2 linked regions of the Schizosaccharomyces pombe genome follow. The gene in region 2 interacts genetically with the main gene of each other region. Each region holds a gene or a part of one and is shown on either strand. Other genes may lie near its edges.

Region 1 (5,063 bases), 280 kb from region 2:
CGACTAATGAACATCAAATACATCAGTCCATTAGAGTAAAACATCTTTTAAGTGTATAGAGATTTTCTCCAATATGGCAATTGTCCTGTTTTAGCATATGCAACACCACAAGCATTGCACAATGATTTGTTTCCTTCGGGTCCTCTTCGAACACAAAATGTTCCTGTGCCCAGCACGTTGCACCAACGACATCTCCATCGGGGTCGTTCCTGTTCCAACAGTGTTTGTGCATCCGACACTGAAGCACTGGGCAAGTTGGCTGTCTCGCTTTGACTAAGATTGCCCAGAGCTGCCGCTCGCCATCGTTCTGCCGAAACATCCGCCGCAAATCCTCCAAACTTAGAAGCTTCACGACGCCATTGTTTCACCAAATTCTCTCGATTGTTCTCATTCTTTTTGGCATCTTCAAGGGAAACTGTTTCCAGCACTGGTTGCCATAATGCACCCAAAGTATCCATGTCCTGACGAGGTCCAGCCTTCGTTCCAGGAACTGCATCACTGTCGTAATCTGGCAAATCACCCTCACATGCATTCTTTTTCAACTTTAAAAGACATTCATGGATTGCATAGGCAATTTCTGGTCGAGATTCCCCAGAAAGCCCCAAATCGTTGCAGGTTAATACACTAAATTCCTCAGGTGTAAGAGGACTCGTTAAATTCCATTCCACCTGATCATTGTAGCTTAACTGAGCAAGTTGAACTTGGATATTGAATACAACGAGCATTTCCTGCCCCTTTGGCATAGGCACCTCAGCCACCGGTGCATACTCTTCGATTTGTGCACGAATACTGGAACTAATTTGCGTTCCATATACATTCGTAGATAAATCTAAATCGGCACACAAGATTTGAGCAAACACATCCGGTGTCATTACTTGCTCGTTCATGTTCCATAAAAACGTGTCCTTGAGTCGATAATTGTTGGGCAGTTCAATATCCAGCCGTATTGGTATGTATACATCTCGTTCTTCTGCAGCGCATTTAAGCTGTTCGTCTGTAACGTAAATATGTCTTGTTTTAGTCGCGAATCTTGGATAGATGTTGTTTCCGGTTGGTCTGCCAACTGCCAGCCCCCGATCATCCGTTTCGAACTTTTCCTCTTCTTTTTCTGGAGTTTCTACTGGCGTTTCAAAATCCTCACCTTGTTCGAATGCGGCGTAATTAACCGCTGGAACATTTCTCAACGAATTTCTGCCTGTATACGAAGAATGCGACCTAGTCGATACTGCAACATTTTTTTGGATTAAGCATGTATTTCCCGTTTTCAAACGAGATGAGTATGTGGTTTTACAAGCTTGAGCCATGTAAATTGTGAAGTCGGTAGTTTGCACAAGTATGCCAAAAAACACTATGTAAGCCGCAAGTCAATTTACAGTTGGAAGTACTATGTTATGTTTTTATTTATTCTATATGATTGTATTAAACGTAAATTATAATCGAGAGTTCTTTTATCGGCCCTGATTTGGTAGAACCGTTGATAAACGTTTAATACTTCTACATTGCCACTGGACTTTCGAATCACAGAATTTTCAAGGATATCTATACAAAATAAAATAAAAAGTTAATTTAGTAAAATAGTTTGACTCCTTTCGATTTCAGATTCTCCAAAACAAACAGTTGCTGAAGGACAAGTAAGGATGGTTGGGTTAGTACGACAATATTAAGGCAAAGAGTTTATTCCTGCTTTATTTTAAGGATATACTTATAGCTGTTATTCAAATTGAAATACATATATCAATATACCTTGTGAGATTAGAAATAAACGAATATAAAATATAAGAGGTACACTTATTTTGTGCATGACATGAAGAATATTGTAAAAAAGCAAGTAAGGAAACAACCATAAACGTAAAAAGGTAAACATAATAATAAGATTCTATATAGGTCTGCGTAAAAGGCATCACTAAGCGAATAAAGGCGGTTAGTTGAGATCCTCCACTTTTTCATTACGAAATGTAGGTTATGCAACAAAGGAAGTTGAGATTTTATCTTCAAAAGAAGCTAAATTATCTCTTTGTTTCTCTCCGTCCTTTTTATCACGGGATTTTTCACGGTCCTCTAATTGAGCTCGAAGATCCCTAGCAATATTTCGCAGCATGGCATATCCAAGATGCATTTTTCCTGAGAAGTGATCAGCTAAACGACGATCGTTGTCTAATCTTGAAAGATAAGCGCTACAAATATCACATACTTGTAGCTTTTGATGCGTTGTGCTAGCCTGACTGGGAATTTCATTCATGGAAATCACTTCATCATATAATTCTTTCCTGTATGTCTTCAACCTATTAAGCTCAATAAAATGTTTAACTGCATCATTCACTAATTTTCTTTTTGCAAGCGCCTCCATTTCTGTAATAATAACTTCAATTGAATGGTCGGTATGTATTATATCTCGCATTAGCTCATCTATCCGTTCTTCCTCCTCTTTTGTTTTTTCTCTACGAGCTTCAGCAATATCAATACGCTTATTACAGTCATCAACATGTCTTTCTAGGTCTTCCAGATAATCCCACTCGTAGCCATAGTCATGTGAATAACTAGCCCGTTCATAATCCGACTTCAACTTGTCACTGTGGATCTTTGGACAAGGCCCCAAATCCATTTTAGTATTTGTAAATATATCATGAGGACAAATACCACATAAAAAGCTTCTGCAAACTTTGCGATCAGTGAAATGTACTAGGCCTCGAGAGGTAAAGTTACTCAAATTACTGCCCATCAACTGTTCTATGATTTTCCTCTGTTCAGCGGCCATAATAAGTGTATTTTCGGCAAAATGTAATTTTATCTCTGCTGATGTCCTATTTGTGGGTTTTCGACAAACGCTGTAAAATGAATAGAAAATTTCACTAGGTTTTACAAGTAGTATAAAGAATTTTTTCCTTTATTCACAATTAAATCAAAATTAAAGTTTACAATCGCTCAAATTTGATTGAGATGTAATTTGAGTAGCTTGTTGGGTTAAAATTCAAAAAAAAATTTCCCGGAAAAGTTCAAAAGTTGCTATTTCTAAATCGTTAAATATAGACGAGGCAATATATTGATACTTTATTCTTTCGATTAGATCAACTTTTACAAATTGTTGTTGAAAACTCAAACTTGACAGAGGGCAGCAATATGCGTCACCTGTATAAATCCTTTTTCACCATTTGGTACAACAAGTTTACTTAAACCAACAACTCCATTCCCCCAATTTTTTGCAATTTATAAGAGTGGAACTTGAAGAAACAAAAATATAACGAATAAATGACCATGTTTTGAGAATGGCATCAACTGCTACTCAAAACGCAAGCACTCGATATTCCCAAATTTGGATCGACCAACCTGCTTCATTGCCGTTCCAAGATTCGATAAATTTAATTAAAGAGGATAAAGAAAAATGGAAAAAAGAAAAAACTGCCTTTTTAATTGACTATGACTGGTTCGAAGGATACGTTGACTTTATATATGGAGAAGGCGACAACCCTGGTCCTATAACTCAATGGAGGCTGCTGGATGAAAAAAACGAGCTTAAACATTCTTTGGAGGAATCTATTGATTATAGCATTGTCTCTGCTTCGCTATGGCATATGCTTGTTGAGTGGTATGAATTTTCTTTAAAGGTCTCTACAGTACTTGTAAAAGGCATTATTAATTAAATTCAAAACTCATATTCATATATGTTTTGAAAGCATTGTGTCTTAGTTTTGAATATTTCATTAATTTATGTAGTTTGCATTACTTCCCACGGTGCCTAAATATATAGGTTCCCTTGGATTTTGAGGCCTCTTTTCAATTCCCATTATGTTATTAGCTAACTCAAATATAGGTTTGGATTAGAAGGTCTAGCTATAGAGCGAAAAGTTCTTTTGGTAGGATTGGCTGCTGAGCAAAAGCCATTCGTAGATATCTATCCTATAAACTTTACTTTGCACGTTTTATTCGACCCAATAAACGGTGAAAACACGAGCTATTCACCATTATACCAAATTGATGAACCATATCATAGTGATGAACCCTATGCGTTTAGCTTTTCCCGAAGTGATACCCTTCGGTCTTTGTACAAACAAGTGATGGAAGCTTTCCAAATATCTGATGGTACTTCTTTCCGTTTATGGTATCTAAACAAAAGTAATCTATCTTCTAGGTTTGTAAGTTTGTCGGAGTTCAATGATCAACCTGCGATTGCTTTGCTTTCCGAGTATGCTGTTTGCATGACTATTTTCGAAATAGATATTGCCGATGGAAGCTTATTGCTCGAGTTTCAACATCCTAACGGAGAGTGGTTATCTGACTCTATAACCAAAGAGCAAAATTTAACAATAAATAAAGAAATCGGACTCTGCGGTCTTTACAATTTGGGTAATTCATGCTATATGAATTCTGCCCTTCAATGTATGATACATACACACGAACTTACAAAATATTTTCTTAGTGATTCTTATGAAAAGGATATTAATTACAACAATCCGTTGGGAATGATGGGGAAAGTTGCCTTGTCTTATGCTAGTCTACTGAAGATGATCCATCATACTGCTGATATGCACTCGGTGTCACCTAGTTCTTTCAAATTTATAATTGGCGAGTTTAATACCTATTTTTCTGGATATCGTCAGCAAGATTCTCAGGAATTCATCGCCTTTTTCTTAGACGGGTTACACGAAGATTTGAATCGAATTCAGATAAAACCATACTTTGAAAGGCCAGATTTATTTGACGAACACCCATTACATGTTCAGAGAGTTGCAAATCAATGTTGGGATATTCATACAAAACGAAATGATTCCATAATTGTTCAGTTGTTTCAAGGAATGTATAAAAGCACCTTAGAGTGCTCCATATGCTATCAAAAATCAACTGCGTTTGATCCGTTCATGTATCTTACTCTTCCACTTCCTACTAGTGCAAAATGGCGACACAAGGTAGTGTACGTCCCGCCATTTGGCACACAGAGTCCTGTGGAATTGTATTTGGAGCTTCTCATGGAAAGTACGGTAATCCAAATGAAGTTTCAAGCTACGGAAAAGCTTCAAAAGATGGGACTCGAATGCGGGGAACTTACTGCTTGTGACATTTATCGGGGA
Region 2 (6,138 bases):
GATGATCCATTTCACTTGGTAGCGAAAGAGAATTCATGTTTACCATAATCATGAACAAAAATCCCAAGGCAGTCGTACCGACCCCAATTTCTATAAAAACAGTTAAAACTTATTTTCCTGAAATTAAAAAAATACTCTGTAAATCCGATAGCCACATTTTTATTCTCTAAATACAAATTTTTGAATGTTGATTGAGCGTATTTTCTAAGGCTTAGAAAGTAAATCTAGTATGTATTTTTTAAGATTATACTGTTTGAGATAATAAACATAGTCTGCGTGAGAAAGAAAATACCGAGAACGAAACAATACTGTAATTAAAATAGTGTCATCAATAAAACACTACACTTTGATACTACGTTGCGTATCACTATATACGATATGTTAAAATCATTTGAGGTCTTTCTTTTTTTTTGAGAATTAAGAGCAAATATAGATCTATATAAAAAGATAATAATAACGATTAGGAAGATTATAAATAGAGCTTCAACTGAACCTCGTCGTCCCTCAGTTTAATTATAAGTATATTGTGATAGGTAACAATACAGTTTATATAGTATAATACCTATACTCAGTTGCTTTACCTACGTATTGCAATAAATAAATCACAAAGGTAACTCACCGCAGTACTACGTACTGTTAAAACATATATCAAACTGCGTTGCTACAATAGAGAGGCGGAAGGAGTACAGCGTATTCATTCCTAGCAGATTTTAAGTGTAGTATTTCAATGAATTTATGACTTTCAATTAGTTATGAAACAACCCTGTATCTAACTGTGTATTTACTTTACACTTTAGCAAGATTACTACTCATCACCTTAGCGTGCCTCTTTAATATCACTCGGAATAAACGACATCGTCCAAAAAATAAGACAGCCGTTAAATCTCAAATGAAGCTTTAATTTGCTCTTATGCAAATCGGGAACACTTTCATACTAGTTCAAAATGCGGACAATTTATTCTTTCTCATATCTAAAAAATTAAATAAGTTAAAAACCCCCCAAAAATGTAATATTCTCGTAGCTACGCATAAAGCATAGCATAGGTTCGTAGCAGGTAGTTGAAAACATTCAAATAATATCAGCAATGTGTAATCGGACTAAACAGCCGGGATAAATTATAAAATGTTTACCAGGTCCGAACAAAACAGCTTCATTCTTTAAACTTGTTTTGTAAAATCTTTAAAGCAATAAATCTAAAACTAATCGCAGTACAAACTAAACAAAAAGGGGTGTATGTTTGCTTTTCCAATTTCTTTAATTTATTGGCTCAATGGACAAATAGTAAGCTTAATAAATAGAAATAATCAATCACAAATGAAACAAAGGAACGATTGTAATACACTGGTATCAAGGTATCAGCAGTACTAATTCAATAATCCAGCCGTCTATTTCTTGCTTTTACCTTTTCTTCGTTTCCGCTTATTTCGAGGTACCTTTGAAGATGACGTTTTAACAGATAGTGTACTTGATACACTCATAGGTGTATTATGAACTGAATCCACATCGTCCTCATGAGAAGTGACCGTAACCTTGGGAACAACAATACCATTGCGTTCTACCATTTCCACAATGTCAGCATTATTAGGATCTACTGAGCGCTCAAATGGTTCAATAACAATACGATTCGTTCCATCGGGTGATACAACATTACTCTCTATAACATTTCCTAACCTTACACGCTTACCTGTAAAGGTCTTAGAAGAATTCGATGATATGCTTCCGGAATTATCCTTTTTTCCATCAGCTGATTCAGTCCTTTCCGATTGTTGGTTGCCGTTGTTTTCTGTTGTTTTTGATGATGAAGGATCAGTTCCGTTCGGTAAAGCTTCAGGAGGTTGTGTAGATGGGCCATTATGAGCTTGACTAGACGGACCATCAGCTACTGAGGATTTGTTTTCCTTGGAAACATCGATGCTGGAACGCTGACTGCCATGCGCCTGCAATTCTGCATTTACTCTTGAAATTTTGCTCGGTAAATCGGAGCGAGAAGGTGATTGCGACATTGACCCATAACCAGTAGAGCTTTGAATAAGCGAAGGGCTCTTCACCTTGACACGATCATTAGTCACTAATCTGGGATTAAGAGCAGAGTTCTTGGGATTCAATATCGGAGCATGTTCATTGGCAGCCAGGTCATGGCTGCGTTGGCTCTTGTGAAGAGCAGCCATAGTACTCAAATGCGAACGATGGAGCATACGATTCCAAAAATCATTGTTCTCACCAACTCTGGGCAAGCCTTTGTGGACATCGATATAAACATCTGTTTCATCAATAATTTCCTCACCAATTAGCTCCTCTATAATATCTTCAAGTGTTATAACACCAATGGCACCATGAGGCTCACCAGGACTATTTGAAATAAGGATCATGTGACTCTTTCCCTCTTGACAATAATTTAACAAGTCAAGGCAAGATGTATTTGGCCACGTTTGAGGTAAAGTAGCAAGGGCGAACTTGCCAACAGGCCATTTATCATCAGGATCATAGCCGATCAGGGTTTTTGTCAACAACATGCCAATGAAATCATGAGGAAATCCAGGTTTGTGAACGGGTATTCTAGAGTAACCGGCACAAATAATTTCTCCGATGAGGTCTTCATCCAAAATTCGATCCATAGGAAGTGTAAAAACATCCTCGATGGGAGTCATAATACTCTCGGCATGCTTTTCTCGTAAATCCAAAACAGCTGTAATAATAGTGACTTCATCTTGATTCAACTTATCAATTCCCAAATCACGATGAAGTGTAACGAGGGTTTTCAATCCAGATTTCTTGTACATAGTGCTTTGCGATTCGCCTAGACAAGCATCCAAAATCAAAGCAGTAGGATAGGCAATGGGCCACAACAAATACATCATGAATAATACTATAGGCTCGAGCTTAGCACCGATCGATAGACCATAGCGAACACAGGTAGCTTGAGGAATAACCTCTCCAAATATAACGATCATTGCGGTGGAAATCAAAACGGCAGGCCAACCACCGCCAATAATACTATCAAATACAATGGGCAAGGTTTCGTTGACAATCACGTTTCCCAGCAGCAGAGTCACCAATACCCAGTGCTTACCTCTTCTTAGCAACTTCAAAACCTTTCTGGCGTGTACACGTTCGCTTGCATCTCCACTTTGTTCAAGAACTTGAAGGTGAAGATCATCACAACCCATTAGACCAATAGTTAACCCAGCAAATACACCTCCTAACAAAATCAAAACAGCGCTAATAATTAGCTTCATCCAATACTCAAAATCCGAATCCTTTTCAGCACTAACGAAACCTCCATCTTGAGAAGGATTCATTGCAATGCCAATTCCATCATTCTGTCTAAACGCCCTTAAAGGATATGCAACCGCATAACTCTGCAATAATATGAAAACTGTTGAAAAGCCATACAAACTGGCTTTTCGAATTCTCAATAGGGACATACTCTTCCTACCAAAATCAATAGATTCTGGTTAGACACACTGAAAGTGGTAGAAAAAAGGTTAGGCGTTTTCGTATCTAACCCTTAATCTCACATATAGCGCATTACACTAAATAATTTTAGCGAACTTTAGCATCATAACCTTTTTATTATTTAACGTAACGTAACAATAAACAATGGACAATATAGTATTGCTATTAAATCTCGTAAATATTAGTACTAATATATCTTCGAAACTCCTTGATAAAATTCTATGATCATTGCTTGTGTATCATCTTTTGGTAAAATGGTGTTCAATCTAACGTTGAAGGTAAAGATGAACTAAAACGCTGGGGGGGGAGCCTATATATATACTCAATACCGTTGGGAAGATAACGCTATCTCGTCGCTTAAACGTGTAATATTGCAGATGCCGGGGTTTGATAAGTATGCAAAATAAAGCTGCACGAGATGAAAAGTAATTTTCATAAATCTAAAGTAAAAAATAACTTTATTTACCATCGGTCAAACTGGGTATTAACTAAAAGAAGCCACAGGTTTTGCCGAGATTCTCATAAAATAGTCAATTTTATTCATAATAGTAAGCGCTTCCGAAGTTTAATGATTTAATTCGAAGTATTGCTAGAGTACGTGCATGAGATCGTTATGCAAACCTTTCATATGCGGTTCTGATTAAACATAGTAAATGCGAAATCTTACCCTTCTTACAAAGAATTACGTCTTGAAGACAAAAACTTGGGATGACGCTTGGATGTATCGCGTGGAGAAAGAATATCATCTAATTTGTGAGATGTCTTCAATTTTTCGACATACTCTTTTCCGTAATTGTAGCCGACGTTATAGATTTTTTCGAAACTTCCAAATTCCAAAGTCGGAAAATCTTTAACAGGAGGTCGCATGTAAAAGCATCCAGGCATCGATTTTACCTTTTCACCTGTCGCAACACTAGTAACATAAGTAAGGCGAGATTGAATTTCAGCCAATGAAGGAAACGATGTTTTAGGAATAAATGGAATCCATCGAGAAATCAGGGCCCAAACACCGGACACTGTGTCTCCATAATGCATTGGCTCGCGGGAATCTTCACTACCTACATCAATGGCAAAGATTGAGCTCGCACCTAATGATTGCATATGAGAGACTGTCAAGTTATCCATATAACCACCGTCTAAAAGCATGTCCCCACTATCCGAAAGCATGGGAGGGACGAGGCCTGCAAGCGACATACTAGCCCTAATGTATCTCCACGCATAACCACTCGAGTGGATGTCCATGCGAGAATGGGTAATATTAGTGGTATTGGCGTAGAACGGTAACCAAAAGTCTTCAATATGTATCTCCCCAAAAGTCTTCCATATACCACGATTAAATTCATGCCCAGTGGTATACGCTGCTTGTGGATACGTTACATCCAGTACAAATCGCCATAGGTTCGCCATACGTCCGCAAAATTTCTTTGCTCTACCAAACATCGGGACCAGATCCGCCTCCCATGCGTACAGACCACCATTAAAGGCTCCAATACTGGTTCCTCCAATAATGTCAAATGGAATTCCAGCTTCCTCTAACGCATATAGAATGCCGATTTGCGAAATGCCTCTAGCTCCACCCCCACCAAGAACAAGTGCAATGGCTTTTCCACAAATCCTTCTGGCTAGACGAGCAAAATCGCTGTCTTGGGCACGATTCGCTTGGTACACCGGATGCAAGTGCTTCCAATCAATGTACTTTCGAAAGCCATAATGCAAATTTTGTACTTTTGCTCGTATAATGTTTAAAAATACCTTAGCCTCATTATTTTGGGATATTTCGTTATCAAGTCCAATGCGTAGTTGGACATGGTGATGGGCATAAACCCAAGGTCGTTCTTTCAACCATAGTCTTGTCAAGCCTGATGGGCAAAATCTTTCGGGGTGAAGCAAGACTAACTCCTTTCTAGCAGTTGACTTCATAGCAATAAGATGTTGCTCATATTCTCCAATATTTGGATTTTGATCGGCTTCAGCAAGAATGTAGATACAGTCAGCCTGCCTGATGCAAGTTTGCAACCAAGCGCTGCCCACACCAGAATCAGCGACGTATATTAGTATATCATATTTGTCTTCGAGATCACTTAGGTAACTTGAAAGCTTAAATCTGCCCATACGACTAAATGCATGTTTTCCCAAATGCTCTAAAACCGAAGATTGTCTAAGTACCTTCACCGACTTTCCCATAACAGACAGCACAGAAGTAAGCTTTTGAGAGAAAAGAATGAGCAAACCTGTGGATGAAGAAGGGACTATAGCTAGAGTTCTAATGCTGTGTTTTTCATGTGGTTGATGTTGCATTCCATCCATAGATTTGTTATTAAGAAGCAAATTCATTCTGTTTGCAATAATTTTTGACAACTGTAAACCAACAGCAGGATGACTTAAAGACAAAGCATTAAAAAGGGTTTCGGGAATTTTAGCCAACTCAGAATCACGAATGGCAAAAAGGGTACTACTTCTGCGATTATTTAATAGCATTTCTAGTTCTCCCACACTGTCTCCTTTTCCATACTCGTTAAAGTAATCCACTTGAGTTCTAGCGCTTCCGCGTTCATCCTCAATTGAACGCAAACGTCCGTTTAAAACCACATAAACGCAATCACTGGGATCGTTCTTTTCATAAACAACTTGATCAGGGTTAAGATGTATCCAACCGACAGCAAAATCTAATTTCAAAAGTA

What was found. A genetic interaction does not mean that the proteins touch.
Region 1: mutations in mam301 (region 2) and luc7 together harm fitness more than expected from each alone (negative genetic interaction), as found in Schizosaccharomyces pombe (one large-scale study listed by BioGRID).

Annotation. Positions count from the first base shown.
Region 1 is NC_003421.2:890,412-895,474, reverse strand, and holds luc7 (U1 snRNP-associated protein Luc7), read right to left. Parts: upstream 2,964-5,063; 5' UTR 2,756-2,963; coding exon 1,961-2,755; 3' UTR 1,639-1,960; downstream 1-1,638. Other genes in the region: RSC complex subunit Sfh1, read right to left, coding at 48-1,304; ubiquitin hydrolase Ubp1, read left to right, coding at 3,264-3,583, 3,809-5,063. UniProt on the Schizosaccharomyces pombe protein: Component of the U1 snRNP particle, which recognizes and binds the 5'-splice site of pre-mRNA. Together with other non-snRNP factors, U1 snRNP forms the spliceosomal commitment complex, that targets pre-mRNA to the splicing pathway.
Region 2 is NC_003421.2:1,170,778-1,176,915, reverse strand, and holds mam301 (protein Mam30), read right to left. Parts: upstream 3,477-6,138; 5' UTR 3,427-3,476; coding exon 1,387-3,426; 3' UTR 1,266-1,386; downstream 1-1,265. Other genes in the region: transport protein Got1, read right to left, coding at 44-90, 136-157; nte1 (lysophospholipase), read right to left, coding at 4,130-6,138.